2 linked regions of the Arabidopsis thaliana genome follow. The protein of the gene in region 2 binds, or shares a complex with, the protein of the main gene of each other region. Each region holds a gene or a part of one and is shown on either strand. Other genes may lie near its edges. A codon is read from its position in the direction of its gene.

Region 1 (8,024 bases), on a different chromosome or scaffold from region 2:
AGCAATTCTCAAAATAATCTCTTGATGCTGCTTAGGAAGCTTTGAAACATTCTCCAGTGTATTAGGTGCAATTTCCTCCCTTTCCTATTAAAACTTAAACAAAAATCAGTCCTCTCATTTCCAAAGTATTGACAAGCAAACGCAAATTCCAACAACTATTAAGATGAAGCAAACCTTTGCAGGAGCTCGTTCAAAAGCCATCTCAACATAGACAATAGCAAAGTTCCTAACCATAGGAGCAGCAGCAGGATCTGTGTACAATTTCCATAAAGCCAATAAAGGCAAACCAATTTCATGCTGATGCTTCACTCTCTTGTTAACATGACTCAATATCTCAAGAACCTGAAAAATGAAATCAACACACACTAAGAATCAATATGAAATCGTCAAACACTAAATTCAGAGGAAGAGCTCGTAAATCTCTGACTTGCCTTGTTGCGAACAACGGGAGATTGAGAAGAAAGAGAAGATATGGTAAGAGGAAGGAGGTTAGAGACTAGGGATTCGAGCTTGGAGTCGTCGCAAAGAGCGAGTCTCGTCAGCATCCGATCGAGCATTTCCTCCAACTCAGCGTCCGATTTGGAAATTAACGAAGACGAAGATGAAGAACCTTCCATAGCTAATCTCAGAAATTTGTTGAGTTGCAGAGATTTATCAGTGCTTCTTTGCTTCTTCTTTGGTTCTTCTCTTCTTATGCTTTTCCTTAGTCTCTCCCGTCTTGGCGGACAAGAGAACTATGGCTGGTCTAAACGACGTCGTGTTGTATCCCATTAGGCATATTGGGCCTCTAATCCACAGCCCATCCTAGCCCGCATTTGCCATTTTTCTCACAAGTCCTTTGGTTTTTTAGGCAACTTCTTGTTTTCAGCAATTTTATTGTTTGGCCGTGTTTGTCAGAGAAAATAACCCACCACTTGTGTGAGTTGAATGTCTCAAACAGACTAGTAGACTTCAATGATATTTATGGCAATGATTGAGTGGTATGGCCGAGAAACTAACAGGTATCATGCTGATGGGTTTGATAACCAACCAATTGAAATCCACTTTCACTCCTCTATTCAGGTTTGAGGCAATATCTTCATTGATTAAATCACAACCATTCCAGATTAAGCTTATATGTGGTAAGGTAACAATTTATTAAAAAAATTGTTCTTCTTCATGAGGACAGAGCCCGTAAAAGAGTTAGATAAGGTGGCTAACAACAATATACCAAAGGACTTTGTATATATGCAAGACTTTGTATAGGGCAAAAATATGCAAGATTTTGTTAACATGAAAGGTTTTTAGAGGTGATGCAAGATTTTGACATTTTTTGTTTGTACTATTTTTGTTGGATGATCCTATCTTTTTTTTTTTAATTTATCAAAAAGAAAAGCCTAATTTAGGATATTGTATGATTTAATTAAAATAGTTGTGGCTTTACTCGTGATTGGTGATCTTGTGATTGGTGGGTTTTGAGAAGTTTTGCCTCGCTTCTTGTCCTTCTTTTACAATTTTGTCGTAATCTGATTGTTTTTTGAAGGATTCTATCTAGACGTTAAGTGACGAATTGGTGGTCATCGTCGTATCTGGAATGGTGTTTGTGTTTCTTTTAGTGGTCTTGCATGTCGGGTTATGATATCCTTGGTTCTCGAGAGATTGGCTCTCAACGTGATAGGAGGTGGTAAATGTTATTTTGGATTTGATCAATCGTACTTGCAGGTGTGTTAAAAGAAGTGGAGTTTCTGCTTTGTTGGATCTCTTATTTTTTTAAGATTTTGTCTTGTTAATATGGATCTTAGTTTGTACTATCGTCCTTTTTCGAGATTGGTTTGATATTTTCTGCATTATAATTTGAGTTTACTTCATCTTCTTTATTTAGGATCTAGATTCCGAAGAATTCTCTTTTTCCGCCAGCTTATGTTTTTTTGGGAACTTATAGTTTATCCGCCAATTTACGTTTTTTTTGTTTGGGCATTATATTTTACGTCTTTCACAACAAGATTCTATAATTTCTTTATGACAAAAAAAAAAATAAAAAGTAAAAAAAAATAAATCCCCATGACCAAAAAAAGTTTTGGCTTTACCAAATTTGTGTAAGAAAGGTCTAAGTTTCACACCAAACCACTCTTATTAGTGTCATCATTTTGATTACTTTCCCTTTTAAAAAACAATTAAAAAGAATATCGTGGCAGTTAAACACGAAACAGAACCCGTGACCGCTCTGTGATTTTTAAGTTTCAGACAACAACAGTCCGACAGCGACACACATCAACCGGAGTTGAAAATTATGCAACAATTTATTACCTAAACCAGAAAAACTTTTAAACAAAACTAAATTAAAAAAAAAAGAAAAAAAGAAAAAAGACAGTGTTTCCACCAAAGCCACAATTTTTTCACGGTCTTTGCTTTTTAGTAAAGCTAATGCTTACGACTCTCTCAAACTTCACTTTTTGCCTTCTCCTCAGACCAAATCTTCTTCTTCTTCCTTCTCTGTTCTCGACGACCTTCTCAAATTCGATCTCAACTCAAAACATTTGTCTGATCCATTAATCGGATTCAGGTGAGAAGTGTTTAGCTTTGTTCTCTTGAAAATCTCCGACGTTGTTCGTGATTATTGCAGTATTTTGTGTTCTGATTTTCGATTTCAAGTTCTTAAAATTTGACTTTCAATTTCTATCTTCTTTGAAATTTGTTACTAAATTGGTATATGGGTAGTTGTTGTTAGCTCTTTTGTTTGGTAATCTAGGGTTTTGACATCCATCAATTCTTTATCTCTGTAGCTATAAAATGTTTTTAAATGTGTGTTGAATCCATTGTTATTTCCAACATTGGCGTAGGTACTGAAAAAAACAATGTTTTGTTTTTGTTGTTTTAGATTTTTGTGAAGATTCAACAACAGATCTGTGAGTCCATTGGAGTATATTACTATTCATAGTGGTTAGACATCTACTAGCATTTTCTGTCTTTTATTTTGTTTTTGTCTAAGCATTTTTGGTTTTGTTTATAAACAGATACAATGACAAGGGTTACACGCGATTTTCGGGATTCATTACAGAGAGATGGTGTTCCTGCAGTATCAGCAGATGTGAAATTTGCTTCAAGTAGATTTCCTAATTATAGAATTGGAGCTAATGATCAAATATTTGATGTTAAAGACGATCCTAAAGTGATGTCCATGAAAGAGGTTGTTGCGCGTGAGACAGCGCAGCTTATGGACCAGCAGAAACGTTTGTCTGTTCGTGACCTCGCTCATAAATTTGAGAAGGGTTTGGCTGCAGCTGCTAAGCTATCTGAGGAGGTCTGATATTATTCTCTTTTTGTTGAGGTCTTATAGATGAAATGTGTCTCTTGTATTGTTACTATCTTTGGTTACTATGTAATGAGTTGATTTGCACATTTATGTTAGTTTTTGTGTTGATTGAGTCTACTAAATAGGATTTAATAAGAGGGATTTTAATTCGGTGATAACCTTACTTTTTGTTAGCAAAGAATTTTTTGTTGTTATAAATACAGAAATAGGGGATCAAGAAGGCTAATCTAGGTTGCTAAAGTGAAAATATGATATGATTGAAAAAAAAATTTAAGGCTAATTTGGTTGGGAACGAATGCAGGCAAAACTCAAAGAAGCAACTTCGTTGGAGAAACATGTTCTTTTAAAGAAACTTCGAGATGCATTGGAGTCTCTAAGAGGACGTGTGGCAGGTAGAAACAAGGATGATGTAGAGGAAGCCATTGCCATGGTTAGTCTTTTACTCTTTTATAGTCTTTTAGTCATCATATTTAGCTCCGTTCCTTTACATGGTGATATATATCGCCTCTAGCCTTTTCTACAAACCGAAATGTGTTTTTTTCCATTTTCAGTTCTGCGTTCTTAAATTGTCTCACAATCCCCATTACCAACATTTTTCCCTTCCACCTCTATATCTTAAGTATGTTTGGAATTTTGAATTCTGCTAGGTTGAAGCTCTAGCTGTTCAGTTGACTCAGCGAGAAGGAGAGCTATTCATAGAAAAAGCGGAAGTGAAAAAGCTAGCGTCTTTTTTAAAGCAGGTAAAGTGTGCCTTTGAGACAGTGACAATATTTTCTTTTCTCGTGTCACTTGAGGTGAATAGTTAGGAGACGTCTATGTCATTTCACTTGAAACAACCAAGTCCTCTAAAATAGCAAATACGTTTTCGTCCACGGCTTAATACCATGCAGTTTTTGTTAGTCCTTGAGCTAACCAGATGATTAAGAGAGAGTCTGTCCTTTTTGTTTTCATTTGAGTAGTTTATATTCTATTACTTTTGACAAAGAACTATGATGTAGTTTCTTTACAGACATAATCTTTCACTTACTATTCTTGATTCTTTTTCTTATCTTGCTTGGGACATTTGTATTAGTCTTCTGTTGTCGGTTGTAAATTAGTGGTTACTAGATGGGCTAGCTTGAAAAAGATGCAGATGTGTTCTAATAATCTTGCTGATTAGTGGGTATGATTTTTTAACTAGGCCTCAGAGGATGCTAAGAAACTTGTCGACGAGGAAAGAGCGTTTGCACGTGCTGAGATTGAAAGTGCAAGAGCAGCTGTACAAAGAGTTGAAGAAGCCCTGCGAGAACATGAACAGATGTCTCGTGCCTCTGGGAAACAAGTATTTTAGTGATGGCTTCTATCATAATCTTGTAAATGTCCTATGCTTATAACATTGATTCGTGTTAACAGAGTATTGTTATAATTTATCGTATCAGGACATGGAAGATCTAATGAAGGAAGTTCAAGAAGCTAGGCGGATTAAAATGCTGCATCAACCAAGCAGGGTAGGTAGATGAAAGATGGTTTATCTCTTGGGTTTAAATGGCTTTATCTGTCTGTCTAAGTCGATGCTTCTTTAGTATCTTATGTTGTTTTTAAAAAGTCAAATCATGTGTATTGTTTTAGGTAATGGATATGGAATATGAGCTTCGAGCACTAAGAAATCAGCTTGCAGAGAAATCAAAACATTTTCTTCAACTACAAAAGAAGGTTAGTTGGATCCATATTCCATACACATATATATTCTATTTAGTGCATTCCAGGTCCTTTTGATGTCTTAACTTCCACATTTGTGACTGTATGCGGTTGACAAATAGTGGATTCTGATACTATATACATTTTTCTATGATTCAGCTCGCAATGTGCAGAAAGAGCGAGGAAAATATATCCCTTGTATATGAAATAGATGGCACTGAAGCTCTAGGATCTTGTTTGCGAGTTAGACCTTGCTCCAATGATGCACCTGATCTTTCCAAGTGTACGATACAATGGTACCGTTCATCTTCAGATGGCTCCAAGAAGGAGCTTATATCAGGTCCACTCACCTTTCTCATTGTTTTCTTTCTCTTATTATATTTGAGTTTTAAAATGTTCTGTTCTGTGAGCTAGTCGATTACAAATCAGATTGTTTCTTCTAACTAATGATTTTGGAATTGTGAACAATATATTTCCAAAGGCTGGTGTAAATAGGGCAAAATCAAGTTTAACATTGTTCCCATTGAGGAAAATGTTTCCTAACTATGTTCCTATCTCAGGTGCCACAAAATCAGTTTACGCTCCCGAGCCTTTTGACGTTGGACGAGTCTTGCATGCAGATATCATCTACGATGGCCATTCGCTTTCGTTATCCACAGTGGGAAAGATTGATCCAGGTTCATTGTTATGTTATTTACTGTAAAAGGTTATTGTTTATGTCAACATGATCAAATGGTTTGTGTAGGTTCTGTCACTTAGTAGATATTACTTAACTTTGACAAATCAACAAACACGGTCCTGATTTTCGTCATTACTAGATGATTTATCAAACATAACAAAGTCTTGATTTGGTGCAGCTGCTGGATTGGGTAGCTATGTCGAGGCATTAGTACGGAAACACGATGTTGATTTCAATGTAAGGTTTCTCTAACACTCGGAATTAGTATTTATATATTTGGTGCTTGTATGTATATTATATTTCCCCTTATTGTAATTTACAGGTAGTTGTGACCCAAATGAGTGGGGAAGACCATACATCAGAATCTATCCACTTGTTTCATGTTGGTAAAATGAGGATAAAACTTTGCAAGGGAAAGACAGTGATTGCAAAAGAGTACTACTCTAGTGCAATGCAGGTAAGGATACTACTTTACCCCGAGAAAATTGTCATATTTTTAGTGTTACACGGTGAGATCTATAATATCATAATCTTTGATGATCATATTGAGTAGCTATGTGGAGTGAGAGGAGGTGGAAATGCTGCAGCTCAGGCATTGTATTGGCAGGCGAAGAAAGGAGTGTCATTTGTGATAGCTTTTGAGTCTGAGAGAGAAAGAAACGCTGCGATCATGCTTGCACGAAGATTTGCTTGTGATTGTAATGTAAGTATAACTAAGATGGAGTTAGAAACTTTGGTTTTTGTAGAGAGAGGTGTTGATGTAAGTATGAAACTGATGTGTTGCAGGTGACACTTGCTGGTCCAGAAGACAGAACAGAGACGGGTCAAAGCCCTTGAAGAACGGCTCTTACCTAAGTTGTGATTTTTAGTATCCGTAAGAGCTTATTTGTTTTGTAGTTTATATAGGTTTTAGGCATTTGTTTGAATTGTACTTGTATTGTGTGTAAAAATATCGAGCAGTGAAGTAAGAGGTGATGGTGAATCTATATGTAACGGGTGGCTTGTGTTTATTCATTTGTTTTGATCTTACTTGCCCTTGAGGTAATATAACGGATTGCTTGTTTTGGACTGGATCCCAAAGCATACAATATATTGCAAGTGAATCACAGCCAAAATCCTGCAACAAACCCGAAAATCCATGATCGTCGATCATTCTCACTAACCGATCTCACAGAGATTCCAATGTTAAAACCAAACAACAACAAAAAGATAGAACAAAAGAGAGAGATCATCACAACTACATGATCAACAACTAAAGTAGACTAGGGTTTTGTTCCTTCATGCACAAGAAACAGTTAAGTTGTCATGCGAAGGAAGAAGAGCAAACCACATTGGTCCACCGTCCACCTCATCACTCTTCCTTCTGCGAATCCAGCTGCCCTTAGATGCATATCAAATTTAACATGTGACAAAGTCACAAAGTTTTGATATAGTGGAACTACACAAAAGTAGTGTTATCGCAATTGTCTCATCAACAAAGCCAACACTAACCCTCAAAATCAAAAAGCTCGATTTAGAGGTTTGAAACGCAGTTTCGAAGGAAGAGAGGAAAAAAACGGGAATGAATATATATCCAAGTGATTTATGGTTTTTAGATTCGTCAATAAACGAATTTATGTCTTTAGATTAGTAACCAAAGATTTCATTTTAACTAGAAGATATCTGTGACAAAAAGAGTTAAAAATTCCAAAACGTAATTTGAGGAATCCAAGGAAACTGAAGATAAATGAAACCACACTTAAAAACTTGTTCATGGTTAACATCATTATCTTTGACGGGATCATACAGAGGATCAATGTAAAAACCAAAAAAAGAAAAAAGAAAGAAAGAACACAAAGAGATCATGACAGCTACATGATCAACAAAAGCAGACTAGGGTTTTGTTTCTTCATGCACAAGAAACAGAGAAGTCGTCAAGCGAAGGAAGAAGAGCAACTTCAGCGTTTTCTGAGACAGAGTATTTCTTGAACACTGCTATTAGCTTACTCTCTGAAGCCGAGTCCCTTAACTTCATCAGCATTTTCGCATGCTCCCTGAAAACAACCAGACCAAACCAGTTTAGTCATGACAGCTAAAAATGGAAATCCAATAATAACATAGAGCAAGGATTAGTGTAGATTAGCTTACATAATCTCATCTTCCGAGTAGCCAGTGTGATGTTTCAAGGTCTCAGTCCAAAATGGCGTCTTCTTAAGGATCTGACGCGCAGCATAAACCGCTGATGCAGCCAGCATCGATGGACGGTTTAAGACAACTATAGGATACTGCATAAGTCCCAGCTCAGCCAAGTAGAACACCAATTTCTCCATCTCAGCATCACATGGAACCGCAGCTTTAACGTATCGCGCAAGGAACACATAAGGAGTTGGAACAGTG
Region 2 (8,119 bases):
AGTTATGGGTTTTAACTGGGGACAAAATGGAAACTGCAATCAACATTGGGTTAGAATCTCTGATTTACCTTGAACATAAACTAGAAAGTATATCTGTAATCTGCTTTTATCCAGTGATTTTTATGCACAAATTCCCTTTTATGAACTGCAGATTCGCGTGTAGTTTACTACGACAAGGCATGAGACAGATCTGCATAACATCAATGAATTCAGAAGGAGGATCCCAAGATTCAAAAAGGGTATGTCTAATGGAGTTGCATGATGCATATTGCTAAAGTATGAATTTAAAGTTCCTTCAACTAAAATTTCGAACCTCACTCCTATATTTCTACTGATGTGTTAGGTTGTGAAAGAGAACATTTTGAATCAACTCACAAAAGCTGTACAAATGGTGAAGCTTGAGAAGGATCCGCATGCTGCATTTGCTTTGATTATTGACGGGAAAACTCTAACTTATGCCTTGGAGGATGATATGAAGTATCAATTCTTGGCTTTGGCAGTGGATTGTGCATCAGTCATTTGCTGTCGAGTGTCTCCCAAGCAGAAGGCTTTGGTATGTATATATATATATATCCTTCCCTTATTCGTTTCATCGCATTCCTCCTTGACTATGCAACTCCCGAAACTTCATACAAAAAAAAGAAAATCTAAATTTATCTATTTTGCTCTTTCCCAAATTCAAGGTTGTTAGGTTGGTTAAAGAGGGAACTGGAAAAACCACATTGGCAATAGGTGATGGTGCAAATGATGTTGGGATGATTCAAGAAGCTGACATTGGTGTAGGAATTAGTGGGGTTGAAGGAATGCAGGTTCAGTTTTTCTCTCAGCACCATGCCTTTTCTGTTTTTCAAGCCATGTTTTCTGTTTCTTGACTAGCAGAAAGTTCATTGAAAATCAAACCATGTCGACATTTTTGCTGATCCTTCTTACTTTTGCAGGCTGTTATGGCTAGTGACTTTTCGATTGCCCAGTTCCGGTTTCTGGAACGATTACTCGTCGTCCACGGACACTGGTGCTACAAAAGGATAGCTCAGATGGTAATATGTAGTTCTTTTGGCCATTTTAGTTACTCTTACATTTAGTTTGTTTCTAACCTTATGTTGTTCTACATCCAGATTTGCTATTTCTTCTACAAAAACATAGCATTTGGTCTCACTCTCTTCTACTTTGAGGCTTTCACCGGGTTTTCCGGGCAATCAGTATACAATGACTACTACTTGTTGCTCTTCAATGTTGTCCTTACCTCATTGCCAGTAATCGCCCTTGGTGTCTTTGAACAGGATGTTTCTTCCGAGATCTGCTTACAGGTAAGCTTTATAAATCTCCCTTCTTGAAAAGCTATTTCGAATCTCTGCTGATCATCGACAATAATCTGTGTTTTTTTCGCTTGTGCTTGTGTAGTTCCCAGCTTTATACCAACAAGGCACAAAGAACCTCTTCTTTGATTGGTCAAGAATACTTGGATGGATGTGCAATGGCGTCTATGCATCTCTTGTCATATTCTTCCTCAACATCGGAATCATTTACTCTCAAGCTTTCAGAGACAATGGCCAAACAGCTGACATGGATGCTGTTGGCACAACCATGTTCACTTGCATAATCTGGGCAGCTAATGTTCAAATCGCGTTAACCATGTCCCATTTCACTTGGATCCAACACGTTTTGATATGGGGAAGCATCGGTATGTGGTATCTCTTTGTGGCTATCTACAGTATGATGCCTCCGAGTTATTCTGGAAACATTTACAGGATTCTTGATGAGATTCTTGCTCCTGCACCTATCTACTGGATGGCTACATTGTTGGTCACAGTGGCTGCAGTTCTTCCTTACGTTGCTCACATTGCATTCCAGAGATTCTTGAATCCATTGGATCATCATATCATCCAAGAGATCAAATACTACGGAAGAGATATTGAAGATGCGAGATTGTGGACCCGAGAGCGTACAAAAGCCCGAGAAAAGACAAAGATCGGATTCACAGCTAGAGTCGATGCGAAAATCAGGCATCTAAGGTCGAAACTGAACAAGAAACAGTCAAATCTCTCACATTTTTCAGCTCAAGACGCAATGTCACCTAGATCATTGTAGCCTTGTATAGTGTTTGTTGTTTTTCTACAGGTCCAATTCTCTGATGCATCAGACTTTGGAGACAGGTCTTGAAGCTAATTTTGTTGAGAGTTTATAATAGAGTGAGATCATGTAAAGAGTAGCCTCTGATGTTTTTTCTACTTGTTGGGTTCGAATTTTTCTTTATCTTGTACACATTATACTTAGGTTTTGTGTATACTTAGGACAGAATGCAAAAAAACATAACAAAGAATCTTCCTTCTGTGCCTCTTCTGTGCCTCTTCTGTGCCTCTAATCATTTAATTGGTCATTTATATAAATTTGTTTATACAAAATCTGTTAAGTGAATCTTGACTTTAGAAAAAAAGAGAGAAATAACTCTCAATAGCAGTGATTTGTAAAATGATTTTCATTTCAACTAGAAATAACTCTCAATTTCATTTCATAAGTTTCCACAAAGAAATATTATAGAAATTGTTGCTTTAGTAAATGGTTTCGTATCCACCAATTGGCATTTAGGTAATTAGGTAATGAAATCTCCAACTTATTTGCGTGTCTGTTACTTTCTAGTTTCTAGTGACTTTAGAGATGAAGTGGTTGGCGAATAAATTAACTTACTTTATACTAATATATTAATTTTAATTTAATTAATTATTCTGGGCCGGGTTTTGCCCAATATGGGTTCAGTACGGCCCAACAACTCCGCAATTATTATTATTTTTCCATGGAGAAAATAAAAAAAGAAAAGAATAATAAGAGAGATTTGGTTAAAATGAGAGTGTAAGCAATTCTGAGTCTATCCCTTCCCTTTTGGGATATTTTCGCCGCGTGGATTGATATGACGACTCTCTTTCGCCGGAAGTCAATCGGAATCCGCGACAACTTCTTCCTTCAATCCCTTTGATTTTTTTTTGGCTCTACTTATCCCAAACCCTTCAAATCTTCAGGTCCAATCTCTTCTTCTATTTGTTTTTTAATTAAAAAAATCCGGCGAAAGGTGAAGCTCTTGGATTCGAGTGGTGGCTAGTAATCGATTTCGGTAGTTTAGAAGTAGTTTATAGGTTTTATCAGCTTTCGATTTGATGGAGCCGCGAGTCGGAAACAAGTTTCGGCTCGGAAGGAAGATCGGCGGTGGATCATTCGGAGAGATCTATCTTGGTATCCTCTTTATTCTGATTCACCTCTCGTTTGTGGTCTCTGTGACTGCGATGATTATATAAGTATTTGTTTTAACATGGTTTTTAGGTACCAATATCCAGACGAATGAAGAAGTGGCTATTAAACTTGTAAGTAATTCCTACTCAAAAAGTGGAACTTTATCATTTTCAGTGTTTAATTGAAGTACATAGAATTTAGTATTGCAATGTAAAGTCTGTACGTATATCTTCATTAAATAAAAGATTGAATTTTCTCGGAAAGTGGGAAGAAAGCTTTGATTGTTGTGAGTTGTGACTTATGTGTAGAAAGACTTCTGTTTATTGCTTGGTCTTTCTTAGCTTGTAGCTTCTCCTTTTACATGTTAAAATCGATCGGAATGAAAACGTTGGTGTACTGTGTTTAGACGAAAAAGGAATAGAATTTTATTTAACAGGCTACACACTGCTTTTTCTACTCTGATCATGCGATTGTTGCAATTTAGTTGAGTTCTTCCTTAAGCTTCCTCTTGATTATCTATGACTGTTTTCATTCAGTATTCAACATGATCAAACCAATATTTCTATAGTTTAAATCTGGGTTCAACCTGACTTTTCCGTAAGAACTGAGATCTATTATTGATTCTTGAGCAAATAGTCTAATTAATGCTGAATCAATTCTTAGAGTCCACGACAAAACTACCTGCAACTGGTGGGACCAACCTATTGAAAATTTTGTTGTGGCCTACAACTGGAGAATTATGAGGCTGACAGCTATACATATTACTGTATTGAACATTGGTTGTTTCTTTTTTCTGTTACCTGTTTGTACTGGTTCTGACTGTTGAGTATGTTAAATCAAATCCTCATGCTTGTTTCACATTTCTTTTTTTGCTCTGAAATGTAACAGATTTATCGTAGTTTGGCTACTGTGTTTGTTGTATATGTTCTGACGGCATCTTTTCTTCTTGTTTCAGGAAAATGTGAAAACTAAGCATCCTCAGTTGCTGTATGAATCAAAGTTGTACAAAGTATTACAAGGAGGAAGTATGGATCTAGTTCTGTACTTGTTTACATTTGTAGTTTGTGATGTCTTTTTTCTTATCCAAGAGGGGTTGCTTTCCTTTCCTTGATTTCTAGCTGGCGTTCCAAACGTTAAATGGTATGGTGTTGAAGGGGACTATAATGTCCTCGTGATAGACTTGTTGGGGCCTAGCCTTGAAGATCTATTCAATTTCTGTAGTAGGAAACTCTCACTAAAGACTGTACTAATGCTTGCAGATCAAATGGTAGGATCCCGTCTATAGCCTGAAAATTGTGTTCTCATGTTGAATAAACGTTTAGGATATCTTTGTTCCTCTTTCAGATCAATCGCATTGAGTTTGTACATCAGAAGTCATTTCTACATCGGGACATCAAGCCTGACAACTTTCTGATGGGTCTTGGAAGGCGTGCAAATCAGGTAGCTGTTGAAAAGGGCTGTTAGTAAAATTTGTTTATTCTCCAGAATTATTTGTTCAACGATTTGTTGACTGAATACAGGTATACGTCATCGACTTTGGTCTGGCAAAGAAGTACAGAGACTCAAATCATCAGCATATTCCATATAGGTTGGTTATAGCCCTATGATTTTCTTTGGGTCTGTTATTTATTTACGCCTATGTAGACTTTTTAAAAAAAAAAATCTTTTACTAGCTTGTGTGACTGTTGTCTAACTTAAAATTCTTCTATGTAACACATCCCTGTAAAAGGGTGGAGTCATCTTTATCCTCAGGATATATGGCTATTCAGGATAACTGTCGTTTTAGTATTGACTCAGGATATATAGCTTATTTCCCCTTTTTTTACGAAGATGCATTAGTATATGAGAAAATCATTTTAATGTATTGCTAGGAAGTATGATTGCAGTATATGATGTTTCTTCATATCAATTATAATTCTAATATTTTGTGTATCACAGGGAAAACAAAAACTTGACTGGAACTGCTAGATACGCTAGCATGAACACTCACCTTGGCATTGGTAATACCAGTTCATTTAGTTTCTAACTTTCTAATTATTTTAAAGAACGTAATTCTGGATAGGTAATTGCTATTTTATTACAGAACAAAGTCGTAGAGATGATTTGGAGTCACTTGGATTCGTTCTCATGTACTTCTTAAAAGGAAGGTATGTACCTCTCTTCCGTACCTGTTGGCATGTTGCTATTGGTTCTTTTTCGGCGGCATTTGGCTTACTTATCCAATGTAATGCAGTCTTCCTTGGCAAGGACTGAAAGCTGGCAATAAGAAGCAAAAGTATGAGAAAATCAGTGAAAAGAAAGTATCGACATCTATTGAGGTAAAATAATGTTCTGATACCTGTGTTGGTGACACCTATGGTTTAATACTGATTAAATATTCTATTCTTCTTTTAGGCTTTATGCCGAGGTTATCCATCTGAATTTGCATCTTATTTCCATTATTGCCGTTCTCTGAGATTTGACGACAAGCCAGACTATGCCTACCTGAAACGGCTTTTCCGCGACCTGTTTATTCGTGAAGGTTTGGTCCCCTCAATCACTTATGTTAATTCTAGTCTTGTGAAGCAAATATAACTTGGACCAGTTAATCAACATGTTAATTTGAGTTTGCGTCATCTGCTTATATTAGGCTTCCAGTTTGATTATGTATTTGATTGGACGATCTTGAAGTATCAGCAATCACAGATTTCTACTCCTCCTCCTCGTCATCATGTAAGAATCAGTTTTTCTTTTCCGAATGTCATCGTCCTACTTAAACTCTGCTGAATATGTACCTTTCTTCCAGGGTCCTGTAGTTGGGCCAAGCTCTGCCCTCCCCCCTGCCATTACCAGTGCTGAGAGGCCATCAGGTAGTTCCATCTATTTCGAGTAGTTTTTTTCCAAATTTCATTACGCATTTGGCTATGTTACTCTGTTCTATAGGGGCATGGTTTTCACCCATCTGATGTGTTCTTTGCAGGTGGCGACGAAGCTAGACCTTCTGGCTGGTCATCAGGAATCCCTAGACGAAATTCTGGACAAATTTTTAACTCAGGAAGCTTAGCTAAACAAAAAGCACCAGTTTCAAGTGATCCTGCAATATCTAAAGATGTAGTGGTGAGTACATAAAATTACCCCCCATGTTACAGGTATCCAATTCTTTAGCTGCTGATTTGAAGAAATAAACATAAGGTTCTGTATTGCTTGTATACACAAGGATTGGCAGCTGAATTTTAGTTTCTTGGATTCTTGTTCTTTGTATTAATGGTAACTGAGCTGTTTGTTTTTCTTGTGACAGTTATCAAGCTCTAGCTTTCTCCGCGCAACTGGGTCATCAAGACGTGCTGCTGTATCCAGTAGTCGCGAAGCTGCAGTTCTGGGAACTGATTCTGAGCCATCAAACCCTCAAATCGTTGAAGCTGGATCAGGCTCCAATTCAAAGATCCCTGTTAGTCGAAACTCACCTATCGTCTCATCTGAGATCAACAAGCTATCATCACCTTCAAGGGCGACTACTTCAGTCATGAAGAACTATGAGGCTAATCTTAAAGGGATCGAGAGTCTGCATTTTTAGTCGTTGGGGCCAGTGAATGATCTTGAAACCCCGGGACAAGTGTAAATTAAAAGACAAAGATGACCTCTCTTAGGCCCTCCTCATGTTTTACGTGCATTTGTGTTTACAGGGAGGGAGACTTGTGCCTCTAAGCACACACTCTAATAACATAGATAAGGAAAAGACTCTGAAGAAGTGATTTTCAGAGAAAGACAAACTCAAAAGAGGGCGAGACTAAAAAGTCAAAAGACTTTTAACACTTTTATTCCCCATTTGGTTTTACACTGTTTATGTTGTGTTTGTCTTGTTTGGTACTGCAACAGCTAAAATCGTTTGTGCTTCAAAAAGGTTTTAAGTTCTTAGAACTATTCCTCGGGCTGCAAAAAAACGTACAAAAGAAAGAAGGTTTTATATTGAGTATCTTCTCATATGGTGTGGGTAAAAATGGTCATTTTTGTTGGTAAAAATAGTGAAATGAGAGCTATAATTCATGGACAGATGCAATAATTGTTCTGGTCTTCCTTAAAGAGGATCTGAGAGTTGCATCTTCTGGTTATGTCATACTTCATCATGTCTACGAATGAATCAATGAAGTATATTGTAAATGCTAAATCGTATTTATCGTAGCTTAAGTTGTTACAGCAATCATCATACTTAGAAGGGTACCCTACTTAGAACAAGAATAAAAACAGACAAGTTCAATGGGGGAAACAAGAGAAGAAGATTGGGAAGATTTGTGGTTGGATCACCACAAACCATAGACAGCGTTTGAACAAGTCTCCTTGAACCATTTGAAGCTTTTCTTCATAGATCCTTTCACTCTCCCTTCAACACCATACACATTATAAGAAGCCACTCTCTTCTTCCTCTGAATCTCTGCCTCACACAAACCCTTAAATCCTTTCTTCTTCACCTTATTGCTTCTCTTCGATTTATTGTTGGAGTCGTCTCTCACAATTGTTGGATTCTGGTATGCATTATAAGTTGATGTACTGTAAGATCTCATCATCACTGGTGGCTGCTGGTTTGTTGGTTCTGATTCTGATTTTTCTCCATGACTGAAGCAATGGTACTTGTTGGTGATGCTGCTACTTCTGGTCTCTTCTCTGCATGACTTAGATCTGAACATCTTCACTTGCAAACAAACCTCAAAAAAAGATTGCTCTGCTTTTTTAGGAAGAAAAAGGAGATAGTTGCTTTTGGGTTTTATCTCCAACCTCTTTCTCTTCTGCTTTTTGTCACTTGCGAGTTTTTGACATATTTATAGAATGAGACATCACCTCTATATCTTGTTCAATATTTAGTGCAGTAATCACAACCTCAATACTGTATCTATTTAGTTACTCGAAGTTTTTTTTGTTTGTA

Evidence for each region. Proteins that work in one complex are often made in the same cells at the same time.
Region 1: the proteins of CKL2 (region 2) and SCAB1 are in contact, whole or in part, in a crystal structure (PDB 8Y47), measured with the Arabidopsis thaliana proteins. Residues at the interface, in NP_177415.1 of Arabidopsis thaliana: Asp366 (codon at 6,292), Ala368 (codon at 6,298), Ile369 (codon at 6,301), Ser370 (codon at 6,304), Lys371 (codon at 6,307), Asp372 (codon at 6,310), Val373 (codon at 6,313), Val374 (codon at 6,316), Leu375 (codon at 6,500), Phe380 (codon at 6,515); in NP_001323795.1 of Arabidopsis thaliana: Ser326, Gly327, Lys330, Asn385, Val386, Val387, Thr389, Gln390, Asp395, Cys432, Val434, Arg435, Gly436, Gly437, Gly438, Asn439, Ala440, Ala441, Gln443, Ala444, Tyr446, Ser454, Val456, Ala458, Phe459, Glu460, Pro486.

Annotation. Positions count from the first base shown.
Region 1 is NC_003071.7:11,402,718-11,410,741, reverse strand, and holds SCAB1 (plectin-like protein), read left to right. Parts: upstream 1-2,320; 5' UTR 2,321-2,542; intron 2,543-2,857; exon of another isoform or gene 2,858-2,919; intron 2,920-2,993; 5' UTR 2,994-2,998; coding exon 2,999-3,280; intron 3,281-3,593; coding exon 3,594-3,722; intron 3,723-3,939; coding exon 3,940-4,032; intron 4,033-4,472; coding exon 4,473-4,613; intron 4,614-4,710; coding exon 4,711-4,779; intron 4,780-4,900; coding exon 4,901-4,984; intron 4,985-5,128; coding exon 5,129-5,309; intron 5,310-5,529; coding exon 5,530-5,646; intron 5,647-5,826; coding exon 5,827-5,885; intron 5,886-5,970; coding exon 5,971-6,105; intron 6,106-6,201; coding exon 6,202-6,351; intron 6,352-6,434; coding exon 6,435-6,485; 3' UTR 6,486-6,763; downstream 6,764-8,024. Other genes in the region: AT2G26780 (ARM repeat superfamily protein), read right to left, coding at 1-84, 175-342, 432-617; CYCB1;4 (Cyclin B1;4), read right to left, coding at 7,537-7,681, 7,776-8,024. UniProt on the Arabidopsis thaliana protein: Plant-specific actin binding protein that bundles and stabilizes microfilaments (MFs). Has no nucleation or capping activity. Regulates MF reorganization during stomatal closure. The binding to F-actin is insensitive to Ca(2+) and pH.
Region 2 is NC_003070.9:27,369,404-27,377,522, forward strand, and holds CKL2 (casein kinase 1-like protein 2), read left to right. Parts: upstream 1-2,793; 5' UTR 2,794-3,149; coding exon 3,150-3,225; intron 3,226-3,312; coding exon 3,313-3,353; intron 3,354-4,177; coding exon 4,178-4,247; intron 4,248-4,340; coding exon 4,341-4,489; intron 4,490-4,566; coding exon 4,567-4,662; intron 4,663-4,742; coding exon 4,743-4,810; intron 4,811-5,160; coding exon 5,161-5,222; intron 5,223-5,305; coding exon 5,306-5,369; intron 5,370-5,455; coding exon 5,456-5,540; intron 5,541-5,616; coding exon 5,617-5,743; intron 5,744-5,851; coding exon 5,852-5,934; intron 5,935-6,007; coding exon 6,008-6,071; intron 6,072-6,181; coding exon 6,182-6,318; intron 6,319-6,499; coding exon 6,500-6,775; 3' UTR 6,776-7,327; downstream 7,328-8,119. Other genes in the region: AT1G72700 (ATPase E1-E2 type family protein / haloacid dehalogenase-like hydrolase family protein), read left to right, coding at 1-49, 152-239, 344-553, 684-809, 939-1,037, 1,116-1,307, 1,402-2,088; AT1G72720 (hypothetical protein (DUF3511)), read right to left, coding at 7,500-7,883. UniProt on the Arabidopsis thaliana protein: Casein kinases are operationally defined by their preferential utilization of acidic proteins such as caseins as substrates. It can phosphorylate a large number of proteins.